3 linked regions of the Xenopus tropicalis genome follow. The protein of the gene in region 1 purifies or fractionates together with the protein of each later gene. This does not show direct contact. Links are inferred from orthologs where the notes say so. Each region holds a gene or a part of one and is shown on either strand. Other genes may lie near its edges. The genes, in order: snrpb2, gemin5 and snrpd1.

Region 1 (6,478 bases):
GATAGCTTGAAAATAAACCACACCTTTACCCACAAATCCTTGCATGTTTGATCATTGATGAAGAGACTTGTGCAGAGCGAGTATTACAGAAGTGTGAGGCATTGCGGGAATAAAGTATTGGCTGGAGGAGATCTGACTCTTGCTGCATTATTTTAGTGGTACAAAATTGTATATGTAGTCAGGATTAGCAATGCAAAATATATATATGTATAGGTATAGATACTGCTTTTAACAGCAACTACATTTACAAATATTGTAACTGAGTTCTCAATGATGGTGCCCCTGGCCACCCTCCTAACCAGTAACAATACCCAATAAACATAGTAATATGCTGCTGAGATGTATAATACAACATTATTGTACCAAGTTCAGGTGGTGCATGGTATTTTCCCCTTCTCAATAACCTGAGTAAGGGAAGGGGGGGGAAGGACACAACAAAATGTTGGGCTTCACCAAGTGTGTGCAAAAACGGTTGTATTAGAGATCTCAGCAGCATGTGGTCTTCTTTATATCATTTATCAGGCAGAAAACCTGCTGTGAGGACCCTGAATCTAGATGACCGCTGTGGGAGATACAAACACATACTGGAGATTGCAGAACTACAAAATGCAATGGGTGTTAAAGTGAAAACTGATTGGGTGTAGTTAAAAAGCGCAAAGGAATTTTAATGTGCAACATTTGTTATCTCTCTATAGGTCAGGCCCTCCAGCCTTTTTTAAATTGCAAAATCTATACTGGCACCCCCAGTGGTGTAAATATATAGGAAGCAGACCCCACAGTTGCAGGGGTGGGTCCAGGAGACAAGGGCCCCAGACCACATGGTCTACTTTCTCTTTAGGTGTAAGGAGATCCCCACTCACTGGCTGCTCTCCTACGTGAGAGTGAGTGGTGGAGAGTGGGGGATGTATGCAGGTGAGTGGGGGATCAGTATGGGGTTAAAGTGTGGACTAGGCCCCTCCAAAGTGCTGTGTAGTTACACTGTATATATTTTTAGAGCTAGAGTAGACTCTAAAATACAGTAGATATTGGTAAAAGAATTGTCACTTGTATTGGGGTCAAAAAAGAACTAAAGCTTAACAAAGATGTGGGGTGCAAATGCTGATAAAAGCCATAATACAATGCTGATAAGTTGTTAAACCAGATTTTTATTACATGAAAGGAATACAGTTTGCTCCAGAATTTAATAATAAACCCTGTAGCATCAGCTTCAATAACAGGAGAACCTTATTTTCTGCTTTCTGATTTCTGACAACCCCTAAGCTTTGCTTCTCAACAGCTGCCCAGAGCCCACTGAGTATGTGCAATGTCACTGACACATCTAACAAAATATTGTGGTTGCATTACGAAAGTCACAAAATTTTCGGATCCGAACGTTCATAAATGGCGTGAAAACCTTTCTGGCTTTGTAACCTTCAATGCATGATTTTGGGAAGCCTTCCATAAGACTCAATGGCACTCTGCAGCTCCAACCTGGCCAAAAGATAGTCACGATACCAAAGGTTGAATGAATCCCGAAATGGTTGTAGTCTTTGCGAAAAATACGAAGTTAGTGCAAATCACAAAAAAGTCGTGGAATGTGAGCGAAATTATTGTGGACATTCCGAAATGTTCTATAGAAAAATGCTATTTTTTTTTCTAAAAAAATGAATGGGCCCCTATATGATAACATGAAATAAGGACTCAAAAAGGCATGGAGTGGATCATTATCATGGGGTTGGTTAACAGCTCTGGTGTGCTTGTTTTGTGCACCTCTTCTCAAGATGTAATATAAAGGACATTTACCCAGCTGCAGTAACCTAGAGAGCAAGCAATACATGTTTGATTTTATACAGGTGAAATGGTGCCATAAGTTACTATAGATGAGGTAAAATTTGTACTATTGTTGCTTCCCAAATGAATTTAAAACAGCCCTGACCCCCACGTATTGCCCTAACGTTCCCTGCCATAATTTAATAATGAATACCGCCGTTCCACTGTATTACACAGGTGCTTAAAATTTTGGCGGAAAGACAAAAACAGTTGTTTATTATATGACACTCTAGTCGCAACCTGGGAATGTACAAAACGTCAAAGAAAATAACTTTATGATCAATTATGCGAAGGCGGTTTTGCCCTTACGAAAGATGGCCGAAGTGACCTCGGAGCCGTGACGTACGTCTCTTTCCTGTTCTAATGCGCGTTTGCTGGAAATCAACGTGCGACGCCAGCTTGGAGCCGTAAGGCGCACGGAAGCGTGTGTGAGCGGTAAGGAAGGAGCTTGTATGGGTGATTGCCGGGCTTGTTTGTCATTGTACGAGGGTTTCTTTTGGTAATAGTTCTATACGTTCCGCTCCTTCGCTTGGTGAGAAGCTGGCAGCGGGTAATGAGCAACAACTTCCCCAGCAGCCACGTCCAACTCCTGCCCGTTCTGTTGCTATTGGAATAAAACGCGCCTGTAGTGCGGGTTTATATGTAGCTGTAACTCGGTTAAGGGGCAACTTCGTGTGGTAATTAATGGTATTGATTGATTTGTAACTGCAATCAGTTTCCATACATTGCAACCAATCAATAGAGCTGTCCCTGATCTGTGTGCGACTGGGGGTCGCCAGTGTATGGCTGGGAAAGAGCTGCACTAAAGCTTATAATTGTGTATTATACACACACTAATATACACAGGGGCAGGCTAGTTTGCCTGTATATTGTTGGGTATGGGAGAAAAGTGCAGTGACTAAATCATAATACTACAGGTATGGGATCCATTATCCAGAAAGTTCTGAATTACGGAAAGGCCATCTCACTTAGACCCCATTATAAGCAAATCATTTTAATTTTATAAAATGATTTCCTTTTTCTCTGTAATAATAAAACAGTACCTTGTACTTGATCCCAACTAAGATATAATTACCCCTTATTGGGGCAGAACAGCCCTATTGGGTTTATTTAATGGTTAAATGATTCCCTTTTCTCTGTAATAATAAAACAGTACCTGTACTTGATCCCAACTAAGATATAATTAATCCTTATTGGAGGCAAAAAATCTTATTGGGTTTATTCAATATTAAAATGACTTTTAACAGAGTTAAGTGATGGAGATCCAAATTACGGAAATATCCCTTATCCAGAAAACCCCAGGTCCCGAGCATTCTGGATAACAGGTCCCATACCTGTACTACTAAATCCAGCAGTTACATGTTTTTAATAATGGGATGTTATTTTGTAGTAGTCTGTATATTTCATATTTATTGAAAAATATGCCGGGCTATGCCTTATAGTCTTATCTGTGTTGCTGAAATTGTAGGCTATAAAAAGAAATTCAATTTAAAAGCATGCATTATACTATTACAGGCATGGGACCCCTGGGCTTTTCCAGATAAGGGGTCTTTATATAATTTGGATCTCCATGCCTTAAGTCTACTAAAAAAATAATTTAGTTGGGAACAAGTACAAGGTACTGTTTTATTACAACAGAGAACAATTTAGTATATTTTCAAATAGTGAATTATTTTAATAAACTGGATAATGGGTTTCCAGATAACAGATCTCATACCTGTACAAGCATGTATTTGGTTTTATGTATAGATTTATGTAGGTTGAATTCAGTTGGAATTTCATGGCACATGTTATATACAATAATAATATTCTGATCTGAAAGTGGGTCTGACAGATGTGGTTCGCAGGCTTGTCTAATGTGCAATATCATGGCGGGTTAGTTTTGGTAATATTACAGTGTGCCTGGCTTTTGAAAATTATTGCTTTACTCTAGGGAAGTGATTCCCAATGAGTGGCTCATAAGCAACATGTTGCTCCCAATGGCCCCAAAGCAGGTGCTTATTTTTGAATTCCTGGCTTGGAGTTTTGGTTGCATAAAAACCAGATGTACTGCCCAACAGAGTCCCTTTAGGCTGCCAGTCCACGTAAGGAATACCAAAGAGGTAATAACAGCCTTTTTTTGGCACCAGAAGGAATTTTTTTTTTTTTTTCATGCTTGTGTTGTTCCCCAGCTCTTTTTACATTTGGATGTGGCTCACTGGTAAAAATGTGTGTGTGGCACAGTAGTCCATCTCCAAGGAGAAAAGAACCTTGAGTAATACTGTACTTTTTTTCTATATCTAAGGTCCTTTTTTTTTTTTTTAACATCTCTTTCAGTATTTAGAATATACAAGCCATGGATATTCGGCCAAATCACACTGTCTACATCAACAACCTCTGTGATAAAGTAAAAAAACCGGGTAAGTGTGAGGAGCGTTTAAATGTTGAATATTATACACTCTCAGTCTACACTCTATACAGTCTTTCCTGGCAGAGTACACTTTACATCTAGACAGCAGCATTGGTATTGCAACTCCTTATGCTGTTATCTGTGAAGGCATTTTTTACTCTCCTATATCCTTTGTATTCCCCTAAATAGTAAAAACTGCAGAGAAATGAAGAAAAACAAACAAACTTAAATATCCTTCAAGCTTTAAAAGTGTAAAACTAACTTAAAAAAAAATCTGCTCAGAAGTCTACTTTTTCCATTTCATATACTACTATTCTTCTGCTATTTATTATGCTTCTTGCCCTAGATATTATTGCTGTTTATTGATCTAGTGCTCACCAGTGCTTAGCATTTGATGGCAGCAAGTAGGTAAAAAGGCCATCAGTAACGATTTCTTATCATTTTAGATGTTTTTTTTTTATTGAGGATGGTGCCTGCCTAGGTGCTTCAGTTAAAATGTGCACCACTGCAATCAGCAAGCAATACGAAAGGAGAGAGTGTCGGCAACATGTGCAATCACGGCCGCACCCAGTCATTTGTATAATCACTAATATGCACAGAAAAGCTTCTTGTGCAGAATATCCCATGGCACTGGTTTTAGTAATAAATGTAATAACTAATACTGATATTCTATTTTCACCTTATCAAAATCCGTGCAAGAGATTTAACCATACATGTTTTTATACTTATACTGTGAAGTTTTTTTTTTTTTTTTTCTTTTCAGAACTAAAGCGATCATTGTATGCGCTATTCTCCCAGTTTGGCCATGTTGTAGACATTGTGGCATTAAAGACCATGAAAATGAGAGGACAAGCGTTTGTAATCTTCAAAGAGCTGAGTTCTGCTACAAATGCTCTGCGGCAGTTGCAGGGTTTCCCTTTTTATAATAAACCAATGGTAAGTTATTCCTCATCCAGGAATTTTTATGATTTACCTCACTCTGTATAGAAAACTTTATATAACTGTTCTAAACTTACTGAAAGATGTATATATATTTTTTTTTATAATTAAGCATAAAACTGTAGTTTAACTAGGGACAAATGAAGGTTTGGATAATAGAAATTGCTCCACTCTGCCAGCCCTTGCACAGTAAACCTGCTCAGAATAACTAATTGAGACAAAATAACAGATATATGGCTCAAATTCCAACCTTCTGGTTCTTTTCTTGGGGTACACAATTAAAGGTTTTATTGCCTGTTGCCATAGGCCAGCCAAAGTCTAGAGTCCCTTGGAATTGTGTGGAGTGGTTGTTGGTAGAAACACCTTAATTTAAATTGATTCCAAATATTTACTGTTAGACTCTGCTGTTTGATTATTAAAGAACTGCAGAAGTGAATTAAATTAGAATTTAGCCCTTAAGCATTTTAGTGACATGTTTATATCTGCTTTAGCTAGAAGTGATCTCAACGCTAATTTAATGTAATAGCAATTTTAAGTTTCCACCAGGAGCGATACCTACAGGTTTTGCACTGTAATAAGCAATGACACTTTTGCCAATGATCCTTGGCGGAAAGTGATTCTCAGAGATTACGTTTCCAGGCTGTTTGCTCTAATAATGCTTTTATTCTTGTTTCTAGCGCATCCAGTATGCAAAGAGCGACTCTGATGTGATACTAAAGATGAAAGGTACATTTGCTGATAAAGAGAAGAAAAAAGAGAAGAAGAAAGCCAAAGCACAAGAACAGGCAGCTAATGCTGCAAATAAAAAGCCTGCTCTGGTAAGATACAAAGTAATGCTTTCTCTGGACTATTTAAGGAAAGGTCAGCAAAATATCTAGAAATTTTTAGGTACAAGAACGCCCCTTTCCTTTTATCTGGGCTTATTTCTGTTGACTGAGTAGGCTGCCAAGGGCTGCATTGTGCTGTAAATGCAGGCTCAGTGAGCCCTCTCTGTAAGCAGCGCACATATAAGGTGTCTTAAGGTGGCCATACACGGACCGATTTTTTACTTACAAACGACCGATTCCCGAACGATCCGATGCTATCGTTAAGTTATCGTATAGTTGGTGGTGTACGAACGATCGTCGGCCCACTAAACGAGCCGACATTATCGTCCCCAAAATCGATCGGCCAGGTTTAAAAATTTTGGTCGTTTAACGATAAAATCTGCCAGTTGGTGTGAGTGTCAGACATTTGTCTTTCAACGATTGTTCTCTGCGCATGTCACGATTGCCAGCAACGACATCGATCGTACGTAGATGTACGATCGTAGGTATTTTACGATAATGATGCGACAAAATC
Region 2 (6,378 bases), on another chromosome or scaffold:
GCCTTATCCCTAAATACTTGCTGTGACTGTATTATACCGTGTTCCTGTTGCAGATCTGCAAATCAGGAAGAAGAAGAGTCGATCGTTGCTTCCCATCAGCACCAGCAAAGATCACCGATCTAAAGAAGAGCAACACCGAGACTGTGTTAAGTTGGCAACTGTTGTATGTGCGAAGGGTAATTTTTCCATTTCTGGCTTTTGGCACTGTACCTTTAAGAACACAATAACATTATCTTATCTGGTTGTCTGTAATATTCAGAACTGGAAATTATCAGTAGCAACATACACTGCTCATTAATGTTGCCAGCAGGATGTAGTGTCCCTTTGCTTGAAGCTACCTGGCAAACAGGTAGATTTCAAGCATATTCACAAAACACCCAAAACTGCCCCCATTCCATGTGAATGGGAATCACCACCAAGTACCCAGCGCAGTCCCAGCCATCTGCCCCATGCTTAAAGGGGTTGTTCAGCTTTGAGTTAACATTTAGTAAAATTCTGAGACAATTTCCAATTGGCCTTCATTTTTTATTATTTGAGGTTTTTTATAATGATTTTACTTTTTGCTTGGCAGCTCTCCAATTTGAATTTTCAGCAGCTATCTGGTTGCTAGGGTCCAAATTACCTTAGCAAACAGGGAGTTGTTTTAATGAGAGACTGGAATATGAATAGGTGAGGGTCTCATTTGAAAGATAAGTAATAAAAAAGAACAATAAAATTGTGGCTTCACAGAGGAAGAAGCCAAATAATTGAAAAACTATAACAAATGAGTAATGAAGACCGTTTTGAAATGCTGAAGAGCCAGTTGGTAGATATGTAGGGCTATCTTTGCAATATCACCTTTGCACCTGGTGGAAATTTCTCTGGTTAAATATGTTATATTTTAGAGAGATGTTATATACTGAATCCTCCACAAAATAGTTGGTCTTTTATCCAATGTGGTGCATTCCTAGATTATTTCACCTTTAAAACTCTTGGTGTCCACCATTTTTCATATTCTATTAGCTATAGGCACTCATTTGTTGAATGGAAAAAGAGATTGGAGAAGTAGAGGGGGGGTGGTGCATGGAGGAAGCAGGTTGGGATTTGAGTTTGGAAAAGGAAGAGGAGAGGGCACGGGATAAGTAAAGTACACAGAATTGGGGAATGAGCATGAAGGAGGTAGAGAGGCCCGAAGATTGGAGAGGAAGTGTTGAGGTCATATTATAATGAAGAACCACTCTTTACAAAGGTGTCGGATTCCCCAGGGTTGTGTCCATCACCAATAAAGTTGTTGTAGAATGAGTATTTAAACCCTATTGGTGTGTGACACAACCTGAATGGAGCCTAAATAATCCTTAACCATAGCATTTGCATGACATTTTTTGATCCATTGTACATCCAACTTCTGTTGTTGTCCATAACGTGAACCCCTCTATCTTCCTTCACAGATTTGGAAGAGAAATCTCATTTTCACTCGGAGGACACAATGCACCTGGGACTATACAGTGACCGAGCAGCCCTTTATCACCTTATGGAGGAGGAGGGTTTGTTCAATTTTCATATCTTACACCGCTGCACCCTTACTTATATATAAGCAAATGGGTCATATTGCTGTGGACAGTCCTGGACTACATAACTGGTCCAGTTACTATCAATATCAGATGGCAGCAACCAGCAAACCAAATACAAAGTATAAGGGATAAAGTGCTGCCTGTTATAAAATAAGAAGTGAGTAAGGAATTCATAAATGTGTTAGGGCACAAGGCTATAGGTGCTTGCAGTGTTTTGCTTTATTCCTGTTTCTTGCACTGATTATGGCTTCCTGTTTGGTTTGCAGGTAAGGCTCATCTGGAGAATGGGCACCCTGAGCTCCAGCATCAAATTATGCTTTGGAAAGGGGATCTGAAGGGGACTTTGCAACTGGCTGCAGAGAGGGGTGAACTGACTGATCAGCTGGTGGCGCTGTCTCCCGTAGGTGAGTGAAGGACCTCATATACAAACAGCAGAGAACAAGATGCTATAAAACAGAGCATTCCAACATTTCCTCTTGGTGCCTGTAGTGTTGCTGTCAAGAATCTAGGGGCCTGTGTTTTCCAAACCTTGCCCCAGATCCAAAAAGAACTGTTTACTGCTTCCTTTCCTAGTGGTGGTCCTGGGGGTATGCAGTTGTGGAATAGATGCCTGACTTAACTCTGATGCCCTTATGTAAAAATTGTCCTCTCCTCTCCCTCTTTAGCCGGATACAAGGTCTGGCTATGGACCGTTGAAGCCTTTGTGAAACAGCTGTGCTTTCATGAGCAGTACGTGAAAGCCGCTTCCCACCTGCTGTCCATTAATAAAGTGTATGAAGCCGTGGAACTGCTCAAGGGGAACCACCTCTACAGGTCTGAACATCAGTGTCAGGGAAAGACAAAAGTACATGTCCCAGCATGCTCACTCAGTATGGTTTGGAGGTTAGCGGGCAGCATTGGAAAACAAGCACGAGTAATTGTTACATGGGGAAGTGTTACTGTTACTTACCTTATGAGTGGCCATTAAATTACTAGTCTGCCTAATAAGTTGGACAATAAGTCAGGCCCTCAGAACATGGTCTAGGCATCTTCTAAATAATAATTAAACCAGCCAGGCTGCTTCAGATCTTTACATAGTAGCTCATGTTGAAAAAAAGTCAAAATTTAACCTTATGGTTTAAAGCTAATGCTTTATTTCCTGATAGCCAGCATGTCTTTATCTGTCCTTTATTTTATCACAAACAACCTGTTTCATGTAAAAGCCCATATGTAAGGATCCCACACCTTGTGTCTCAACCCTTTCTACTTGTAGATTGTAAGCTCTTTTGGGCAGGGCTCTCTTCACCTCTTGTATCGGTTATTGATTGCTTTATATGTTACTCTGTATGTCCAATGTATGAAACCCACTTATTGTACAGCGCTGCAGAATATGTTGGCGCTTTATAAATGTTAATAATAATAATGGGGGATGTCACATTATTATGGGCACACATGTTTTGTGCAGATAATTAACTTGCAAGGTGTTAGCTGCCTCACCATATTGTGGTTTAAATTTTAGAGAAGCCATTGCAGTGGCGAAGGCTCGGCTACTCCCCGATGATTCAGTCCTGCGGGAGCTGTACACTAGCTGGGCAGCAGTCCTTGAGCAGGACGGGCACTATTCCATGGCTGCTAAGTGGTAAGTGTGGGAAAGCATTGCAGAAAGTTCTGGTTAAGGCTAAACCACACAGGTTATTCATTCTGCCACCATAACCCTATTTCATGGTGTTAGCCCTTGTTAGGAGCTAGCCACAGCTGCGCACATTCCATTGCTGGGGCAGAGCCCCACAGAGAGGTATGTCAGTGTATTGCAGTGTTTTAGCACTAATGTAATGATGTCTATCAAGTAGAACGCTACGTGCAGCATTTCCCAGAGGGTGTCGTCTGTGACCCTAATCCTCTTGCCAGCCATTGGATCGGTTGGTGGAAAAGTGCAGTGATTTGTTTGTATTTTTAAAATGTGTTTTATTCCAGTTATTTAGGGTCCTCCTCTCCCTATGATGCTGCCAAGGTTCTAGCTAAGAAGGGGGATTTGCTATCCCTGAGCGCTGCTGCTGAACTTGCATTAGTTGCAGGAGAAAAAGACCTTGCTGCTTCTTTTGCCATCCGCTGCGCCCAGGAACTGTTCACTGCAAAGAATTTTTTAGCAGCCCAGGAAGCACTACGACAGCACAACAGTCTGCTGGTAAGAAATCCATGCACAAAGGATAGACAAGCTGTATCTTACTCATGTGACCTATAGAGCTTATAACGTCTCTCCATGGTTTATATTAGTGTTGCACCGAATCGAAAATCAAATGGTTGGACTCATTGGAATCCTGAATCAATTTTTGTATTTTGTGCATTGCAAATTTGCAGTTATACATAAACAAACATATGTTGCCATATTTGTTTACTTTATCTCATACTAATCCCTTGTCTTCATTTGCATGCCTAGCAGAAATGTATTTCCCATGCATAGTTTATCCTTCCCAGGGGCAGAGACTGCTGTTTTGTACCAGTGAGCTGCTGTACATGCATTTGAAGGAGAAGATGCCCATAGATTGGAAGACACAAAGCAATCCATGTTTCCATGAACAGACAGGCAGTAGTAATGGGGAACCTTTTATGACCAAGCTTACAAGTCTATGGCAGAGTTTGTGTGAAGTAAACAGCCCAGAGCAATACAAAGATGCCTTGCAACAACTGTCTGCCTCAGAGATTCCACAGACCACTGTCAATACTGGCCCTAAACAGGTAACCCAGTCTTTTTTTTGTAGATATAGAAATTTGCTGTCAGTGGTAAATGGAATGTCCACCCAATAAGAATTAAGAAAGAACTGGTCTAACAAAGATAGTTGCAAATTGTGCCTTTAAAATTATAATGGTATTGTTATTATTATTATATATGATTGTGTATATATGTTTTACTTCCTGTGTTTTACTGTTCTCAAACCCACAGCTGCTGCTGCACCTTTCCCATGAGGTCACAATATTGTCTCTGAATTGTCAGCTTAAAAACTGGAAAGAGGCTGTTCCATCTCTCCTCCATATCCTGTTCCGCTGTCAGCAGGCAGGCCATTTCACCCTGATGCAAGGGATAGCCAGCCTGCTGCTTCCTAACGGTGAGTATAGAAATGCATTGTAAGATAGGCTTGTATTACTTGCTGCTACCAATAGTGACCACTTTTCATTGGATGTGAGCATTGGGTTTAAATGTACATGTGTATATTTCCCCTTGTTATTTTAGTTATTTCAAGGAATAGGGAGAAGTGTTTTGAGAAAAGAAGCATGTAGCACCTAGGCACCCCTCTACCTGACCCATAACTTGTGTTTCATTCACATATGCAAGGTGCAGCCCACATAGGGGTGCTGTCTTTACTCACTCTCCCAGAACGTGAAAAGGGAAGGGCCTGTCATACATTAAATACTGGGTCTTTGCTAAAGGGGATGTTCACCTTCAGACAATAGTACGAATTTGAAAAGCCCCTGTCATAAAAAAAACATCCTTATTATTTTAAAAGTTTTGAAGCTACAGACCATATAAGCTGTGGCTCAGCATTGCTAAAACTATGTTTGCTCTGCTCTTTGCTCTATCTTCGGAAGGGGTCGCCCGCACCACACTTGCAAGCTGCCCAAACAGGAAGCACACACTGAACTGGTTACTGTGCATGCCTTCCCTCTCCTGCTTCATTTGCATTTGATTGGTTAAATCTTGCCTGCCAATGGTATCAAAGATATTCAAATGAAAGGCATGTGCATAAATTCTGATACATAATTTAGTACAGGTCCAGACCATGTGCGAAAAGAGTGCATGGGGTTGGTGGCACCTGGGGCATTCATTGGGGGTATGTTGGGGATATTCTGTGGAGTCGGTATGGCGTAGCTTCCTATATTTCTAGTGCATCTATATCTTTTTCTGATGTATTGCTGTCTATTCTTACCAAGTGTGGCAGTTGAATTTATCCAGATTCTCAATAAGTTGCTGTGGTGAATATGTAACCACAGTTTGAACCTCAATAAGTTTCTGACTGCACAGCGAGTGTGGGAGCCGCTATGCGAGTGTTGCATGTATCCAAGTGTTGCATGTCAATTAAGTGTTTAGCAGGCGTTAAAAACAAAAAGACATTTAAAACTTAAAAGGCACTATACAAGGGATTGCACTCAGGAGACTGTAAGTACCCAGTGGCAATATGAGTTGCAGTATGATTGCTGGTGTTACTCAGTGTGCATCTTGTCGCATGTATGTGGTCCTGGAGCAGCAGTTCCATGCAGCATTTACTTGTGAGAGATGCAGGTGGGTTTTCCTCTTGGAATCTGAGGTGCAGAATCTAAGGGGGGAACTGGCAGCACTGAGGGCAGCTGCAAACATGGGGGAGAACAGGAGGCTCACTGAGCAACCACTGGCAGGGGCTGGTGTAGTGGGGGGTGGATAAGGGACAGTGGAGGTTAATGAGGGAGACAAATTTGTAACAGTTAAGAGGGGCAGTAGGGGAGACAAGGGTAGGGGGGCTGGTTCACAGCTTGTACAAACCAGCAGATTTGCCGCTTTAGGTGAAGATGCTGGGGAAGGCAGCTCTGAGCTAGCATGTATGGAGCAGGCTGACTCTCAGAGCACCCTGGGAGCCGGCACCTCTAATACAGGTGGGGGGAATAGTGCTAGGAAGGGAAGGCAGGCTATAGTTGTAGGGGATTCAATTATTAGAAAGGTGTATAGGGTAATTTGTCGCAAAGACCCTACATGCCGAACTGTGTGTTGCTTGCCTGGTGCTAGGGTGCGGCATGTGGTGGAACGAGTGGACAAATTGTTGGGAGGGGCTGGGGAAGACCCGGCGGTCTTGGTACACATAGGTACCAATGACAAAGTTAG
Region 3 (6,478 bases), on another chromosome or scaffold:
GCTTCTGTGCAGTAAGTTTTATTTTGATGGAATGTGCTAAGAAAAGTAGCGTTTATTGAAATTTTCGCCCAAAAACCCACTAGCCCCACCCACCTGTTTTACTACCTGCTGCCTTCTTTTCCCAGGCTGCATCTAGGCCAGTGGTTCGTGAGCAACATGTTGCTCTCCAACCCCTTGGATGTTGCTCCCAGTGGCTTTAAAACAGGTGCTTATTTTTGAATTATGGGCTTTGAGGCATGTTTTGGTTGCATAAAAACCAGATATGCTGCCAAACAGAACATCCTGTAGGTTTTTCAGTCCATATAGGGGTTACCAAATAGCCAATAACAGTCCTTATTTAGTAACCAAAGGAACATGTATTATGCCTGTTTTGCTCCCCAAGTCTTCTTATATTTGAATGTGACTCACGGATAAAAAAAGGTTGGGGATCCCTGATCTAGGCAAACCTGATAGGGAGCTGAAGCCTTCCTTTGTGTGAGTGCAGGGCTGTGATTGGCAACCCCCCCTCCTACTGTGTTTATGGCAGGGACCGTTAGGACACGCCCCCCTCCCTCATTTGAAACAGGGAACTAAGAGAATATTTTTGTTAATCCTATATGCCTCCTTTAAATTTTGTTGGATGCCCTAGTAAAGCACCAATAACTGCAAATAACAGTGATACTAATCTGTGATTACTGTTGTGTTCAGCCATTGGACAACTTCCCAGTTTATGGTACTCAGTGCTAATTTTTAAACCAGGGGCACCTAATCTCCCCAAAATGCCATCCCACCGACTAGAATGTAAATCGCCGATGCAGTGGCATATGCGGCAGGGCGATTTGCCGAAGTTGCAAAGGAACTTCGGCAATTTCTGCGCCATGTATGCCGTCCCACCGGGAATTACATTCTAGCCGGTGGGATGGCATTTCGGGGAGATTTGTCGAGTGGCGACTAATCTCCCCGTCTGCCACAGCCCTTAGTTTACAAAATATTCTGCCCCTGCTTGCAATGCCTATTCACATCTCCAACCTATTCTGTTGTGTTCTTTCATGTTACCACAAATTTGTTTGGACATGGGACAACAACTTGACAGAGACATCTCATCCGGGAGAAAGTCAACAGCTATTTTTAGTTACCAAAATTTTGGTCAAATAGAATGGGCCAGTCTGTTGTGGGCAGGGGGACCTGTCAGATTTTATCATACCATAGGGTACAACCAAATGCAACAAAACCTTTTTCAAAGATGTTCTTTTAATTTGTCATACGTTTACCTTAAAGGGCACCGATCGCGCTAAAATTGCTTCCCCACCAAAGTTGCAGGCTAATAGAGCCCACACTCTGGTTGGGAGATGCAGTAGTTTTTGGGTTTTTTTTAAAGTCTGTCTGCACTAGGCCGCCCCCCACCAGGAGGGAGCTCCCAGTGCGGCGGCCATGTTAATTAAGCATGCATGCGCATTATGCGGGAGACTCCCGCTCACTTATTATGTGCATGCATGTAATGTAGGAGCTGCGGATGCGACTTGCCCACCTACATCACACACATATGCATAAGCAGCGATTTGTGGCACTCACTTGTTATGCACATGTGAGTGCCACAACATGGCTGCCTGAACCAGGACCTTCCTCCCAGTGCTGGCAGCCTAGCACTGTAGGGGGCTATAAAAAAAAAAAAAAAAAAACAATTATTATATAAAGGCTCTGTTAGCCCACGCTAATAATTTTGTCTCAAAATATCAGTCATAAAACAAATTTAGATAAATGGTTTTACTACCCCCTTTTGTTTGCCCCTAAGTCACACACCTACCAATCCGATTTTGCTAGTACTTGGTATCATAAAATTAATCAAAAGGACAAACCTGTACATTTTCAGAGCCCCTGAGCTTTTAAAATTTGCCATCCATTTACCCCAAAATTACAATCCTTCCATCTTACCTTCAGTAATATGGAGTGGCCCAATCCGGTTAATCAAATAGGAGGAGTGTGGTTTTGGGTTAAATTGATTGAATCTCTACATGTATGACCCTAGATTAATATTGTTTTATTATAGTGTCCTCCCGAGTAGTTTAATTAGCTTGTGCCACACAATGGTATCATAGAATTATAGCAAAGGACAAAGCACCTTTGCTATTGTTGCTGAGCATTAGTCTGCCATCCATTTACCCCAACATCATATGCTTGACCCTCTGACCAATAAGATTGTGCAGTTCCATAGTATCTGAGAAGAAACTAAGCATTCATTTTTAAACCTTGAACATAACCCCATACAAAGTGCTGGCAAATACTTTAACAACAAAATGGGCAGAATTGACCCATATGCCAATCCCTTTAGTAAGGTAAAAGTAAATAATGCTCATTATTTAATCCCTGAATTTTAAAGATATTTTTTTTTTTTTAAGACTTTGTTTTATTCTGTCATATGAAGTTGTGTTGTAAACAATGATGACGCCTTGATTTTCATTTTTTTTTACTTTTTTGTTTCTTTTAGGAGTAGATGTGAGCATGAATACGCATTTGAAAGCCGTTAAAATGACAGTGAAGAATAGAGAGCCTGTTCAATTGGAAACATTAAGTATTCGAGGAAATAATATTCGTTACTTCATTCTACCAGACAGTTTGCCTCTTGACACGTTACTTGTTGATGTGGAGCCAAAAGTTAAGTCAAAGAAGAGGGAGGCTGGTAAGTATAGTTTTCATATTTTTTGTTCTATTGTGTATATAAAAAAAAAAAAAGTTGTTATTGGAACACCAAAACCGTTACTGGTGCCAAAACATAACATATTAATTTTGGTTAAAAGGACACACATCTATACAACGGGCAGTTAGGCAGGTTTAATTCGGAGCAAAAGGTTGAACTCTGTGGATATGAGTCACTTTTTCAACCTGAATTATTGTATTACTTTTGTTTAAATAAAACCTGTTAGGTTGCCAGTTTGTCCTGATCCTGTTTCAAAGATGCCCAGAATAGTTTTTTCATCTGAAAACACCAATACACTACTTACAGTGTACAATTCCCACCACCAAGTCAGTAATAAACAAATTAAATAAACGTGGACCCAAAACAGAACCCTGCAGCACCCTGTTAAGAACCCAAGTAGAGAATGCATTAAAAACTACACTTTCTAACGCAGTTGTGTAGCCAGTTTCCTATCCAAACAGACGGTTCCCAAAAGCACCAACTGTCAATCTGGGTCACTTTTTATAAATTAAAGGAGAAGGAAAGGTTAAGTCACTTACCTTTTACCCCGGGCTGGTGCCCCTGTTAGGAGAAAACCGCACCAAGCTGGGGTACCTGCAGCGAGCGCTTCCTTCTGTCGGCAAAATCCCTGGGCTGGCTTTTTTGTTTAAGTTTGGCTTTCCACTCTACTGCGCAAGCGCCAGAAGCAGGAAGGGGAGACGCTCGCAGGTACCCCAGGCTGGTGCGGTCTTCTCCTAACAGGGGCACCAGCCCAGGCTAAAAGGTAAGCAATTTAAAGTCACTTGGGGGTGCCTTACATTTTGGCATCCCCAGGTGACTCAGCCTTTCCTTCTCCTTTAAGCCATGTTGAGCTGCGTGTGATGACTGCAAATTGTATGTAATATTTATTCAGTAAGGTGATCATGTTAGATGGGATTACATAATAGAAACCTCTATCCTGCCAGAGGAACCCAGAATGGTGAACTATGTCAAAGGGCAGCTCAAATCTGTAAATATTAGCTGTACAGCCTGCAGTATGTTGGTATTTATTAATCGGGTTGCATGGGCTTTTTAGGTAAAACTGTAGAAACAATAGTAGGATTGCCTGTGTGGAGATGGCCTCTAAACATTAAAACAAACTTGTAATTCCGTTGATTAACAATGGCTAGAATGTGATTGTTAGTTGTGAAATGCAGTGCTAAGGGTACTGGCACACAGAAATTTGTTGCCTGTAGTAAATCTGCGTTACCACAGCAACAAATCCCCTGAAATTGCCTTCTCATTCATTTACTTTTGCATCATTGCAAGTAAAACACTCACAAGTGGTTTCCACATGTCGGCTGTTGGGGCATTTGTGTGTCAGGCTCCACTCATTCCCCTTCCTCTGTTCATTGCATAGGGGTGGGAGACAGGAACGAAGAGATTAGGCTGTCTTTAAAAGCCAGTCCAAAGTATCTTAAGGTGTTAAAGGCAGAGCATTTTATCAACTATTTTTACATTTTAAATAATGTTTTGAAGTAGTTAGCATTGCTTCATCCCATAATATATCATCCACTGCTTTTAATGCAGTAAGCATAAATATAGAAGTATTAATTTCCAACAGTAAGAGCTAGGAAGGTGTTTGATGTACTCCCTGAAGTGGTTAGATTGGTATATTCATTAGATACAATGGCATACAAAACTGCATTAGGCAGAAGTAGTGTTTCAGTGTGCAGGTAGTGTGTGTACATTATGGGATTTGCTATGAAGGTATATTTCCTTTATATCTACTTCATTATTTTATATGGTTGGAACTATTTTGCAAAACAATATAATGCCATAATATACATCCGAAATTCGAAGATCTGTTGGAAACTGTTACTTGATATTTCTGTTTTAGCAAATGTATGTATGTGTTTTGTTTTTTTTTTTTGTTTGTTTTTACTTTACTGATCCTCACCTGATTTCTGTTTCTAAACAGTTGCTGGCAGAGGAAGAGGGAGAGGCCGTGGTAGAGGCCGAGGGCGAGGAAGAGGTAGAGGAGGCCCAAGAAGATAATATATGTGAAAACTTCGCCATTAGAGGATGTTTTTGTACAGTTTTTTTTTTTCATACCTGAATGCACACAAATACTACTTCATGATATTACTTGTACACTGTACTAGTTAACTACTTATTGAGGCATATTTACTAATGCTGGGTGCTTTAGCTTGGTACAGTAACCATATAGAATACATTTTGATCTACTGGATGTAGAAAATACATTTTAATTGGTTACTGTTGGTTACTGCACTGGTGCTTAGTGTTAGTAAATGATTCCTGTTATGTACACTGCATCCCTGCCACACATTTGTATATGACCAGCATTAGTGTTATAGGAATCCTTGTGATGTTATATTCTTCACTGTTCCTTTACATTAGTAACAGTCCATTCAGTGCATTGGACAGGTGCCAGTAACAACTTTCTTCTTGCATTCCCTTCAATGCTTTGGTCAAATACAAATATTTTTCAGGTTGCTATTTAAATTCACAAATCGGTTAAAATCTGGGTTCTGCAACTAGGTAATTGATATTGAATATTGGCATTCAGTTCTTTTTGTAACAAAGTTGGTTGTGTCTTTGTTTTTAATGCATATAAGTTGCATTTGAAAGCCTAATAAAAAAAAAAGGTTTTTCATAGATGTTTGATTTTTTTTTTATCCCAAGATGTTAAAACATGTTGGAGCATGTTTTTTTTTGTTCTTTTTAATTGTATGTTAAAGAATACTTAGTGCTTGTTGGGCAGTTCTGTGTGTATTTAAGCTGGCAGACCCAAGCTTGAAGCCGTCCGTGCTGCTCTTATCCAAAAATATGTGGTAGAAAATGTTAATAACAACCTGTACTACATGGCCAGGTAGTTTCCATTAGGACAATTACACACAGTGTAATTTGTCTGGCTGCTGTCAGCAGCAACTAAAGCCTTATTACCAATCCTGATACTATTGTGCCAAGTTAAAGTCAGGAATGATGTAAAGCCACTGCCCCTACCACAAGAAGCTTTTTATTTTCTGTCCCATAGTTCAGGCAGTGCTCAGGTTTTCATCTTAGGTTACATGCCGAACATGGATTTAAGTGTTGTTTCCCCTTCTTGGTTGCCAGGAATGCAACTTCCTATCTAACAGATGCTTTTGATCAGAAATACGTGTATGTGGCCCCACATGTTTAAATTCCTTTCTCTCCTGGTAAGCCCTGCACTTATACCTGTTCTTGTTCTGTCATTAGCAGCTTTTTGATGTTCATTACTTTCAGCTAACTCTGCTTCTGATAGTCCTACCCCAGACAAAGCTAAACCTGATTATACAGCCCAAATGCTAAGAAGGAATTTAAAAAGCCCATTGCAATTTGTGCCAAGTCCCAGTGTGGGTTGGTCAAATTCAGAGTGGTATTTCTAGAGTAACAATTCTTTCTCTGGCAGTATATTTCATCAGTGAAGCCTCTATTGCATAAATGGGAATTGTTAGCCATAACTGCAGCTTTTCTACATTAGCCCATAGGGCAAGTTGGTTAAGCCACTGGGCTGGAGATGATGCCTCTAAAACAGTTTGTTAAATAAATTTGCTATTTGAAGAGGAAAAGCTTTTTGGCTCTGAGCGGGGTTCTTGGACATGGATATGGTTCATTTTTAGAATGTAGTATATTCAACATAAAAAAATCTCTCAAAAGACTCTAAACAGCCCTCAAAATAACATACCTCTCACCCTACTTTCTGATGCATTCTAACACAGAAGTTGAAAATGGCAGCTCAAATCAGTAATCTAGTGCAAAGTCCTGTCCCATTTAGTAAACTGAGTTTTCCTTATTGTTTCA

Evidence for each region.
Region 2: the proteins of snrpb2 (region 1) and gemin5 purify together in Homo sapiens (co-immunoprecipitation; 3 studies listed by BioGRID and IntAct, with this or other methods). This does not show direct contact. The link is inferred for Xenopus tropicalis from reciprocal best matches to the Homo sapiens genes SNRPB2 and GEMIN5.
Region 3: the proteins of snrpb2 (region 1) and snrpd1 purify together in Homo sapiens (affinity purification with mass spectrometry; 3 studies listed by BioGRID and IntAct, with this or other methods). This does not show direct contact. The link is inferred for Xenopus tropicalis from reciprocal best matches to the Homo sapiens genes SNRPB2 and SNRPD1.

What each region holds. Positions count from the first base shown.
Region 1 is NC_030681.2:29,851,407-29,857,884, forward strand, and holds the start of snrpb2 (U2 small nuclear ribonucleoprotein B''), read left to right. Parts: upstream 1-2,205; 5' UTR 2,206-2,244; intron 2,245-2,246; exon of another isoform or gene 2,247-2,496; intron 2,497-4,125; 5' UTR 4,126-4,144; coding exon 4,145-4,208; intron 4,209-4,961; coding exon 4,962-5,134; intron 5,135-5,814; coding exon 5,815-5,955; intron 5,956-6,478. UniProt on the Homo sapiens protein: Involved in pre-mRNA splicing as component of the spliceosome. Associated with sn-RNP U2, where it contributes to the binding of stem loop IV of U2 snRNA.
Region 2 is NC_030679.2:17,528,984-17,535,361, reverse strand, and holds part of gemin5 (gem-associated protein 5), read left to right. Parts: intron 1-53; coding exon 54-176; intron 177-1,427; coding exon 1,428-1,523; intron 1,524-1,816; coding exon 1,817-1,954; intron 1,955-2,215; coding exon 2,216-2,363; intron 2,364-3,048; coding exon 3,049-3,168; intron 3,169-3,503; coding exon 3,504-3,714; intron 3,715-4,004; coding exon 4,005-4,265; intron 4,266-4,470; coding exon 4,471-4,633; intron 4,634-6,378. UniProt on the Homo sapiens protein: The SMN complex catalyzes the assembly of small nuclear ribonucleoproteins (snRNPs), the building blocks of the spliceosome, and thereby plays an important role in the splicing of cellular pre-mRNAs.
Region 3 is NC_030682.2:65,064,947-65,071,424, reverse strand, and holds the end of snrpd1 (small nuclear ribonucleoprotein Sm D1), read left to right. Parts: intron 1-2,464; coding exon 2,465-2,656; intron 2,657-4,613; coding exon 4,614-4,690; 3' UTR 4,691-5,309; downstream 5,310-6,478. UniProt on the Homo sapiens protein: Plays a role in pre-mRNA splicing as a core component of the spliceosomal U1, U2, U4 and U5 small nuclear ribonucleoproteins (snRNPs), the building blocks of the spliceosome.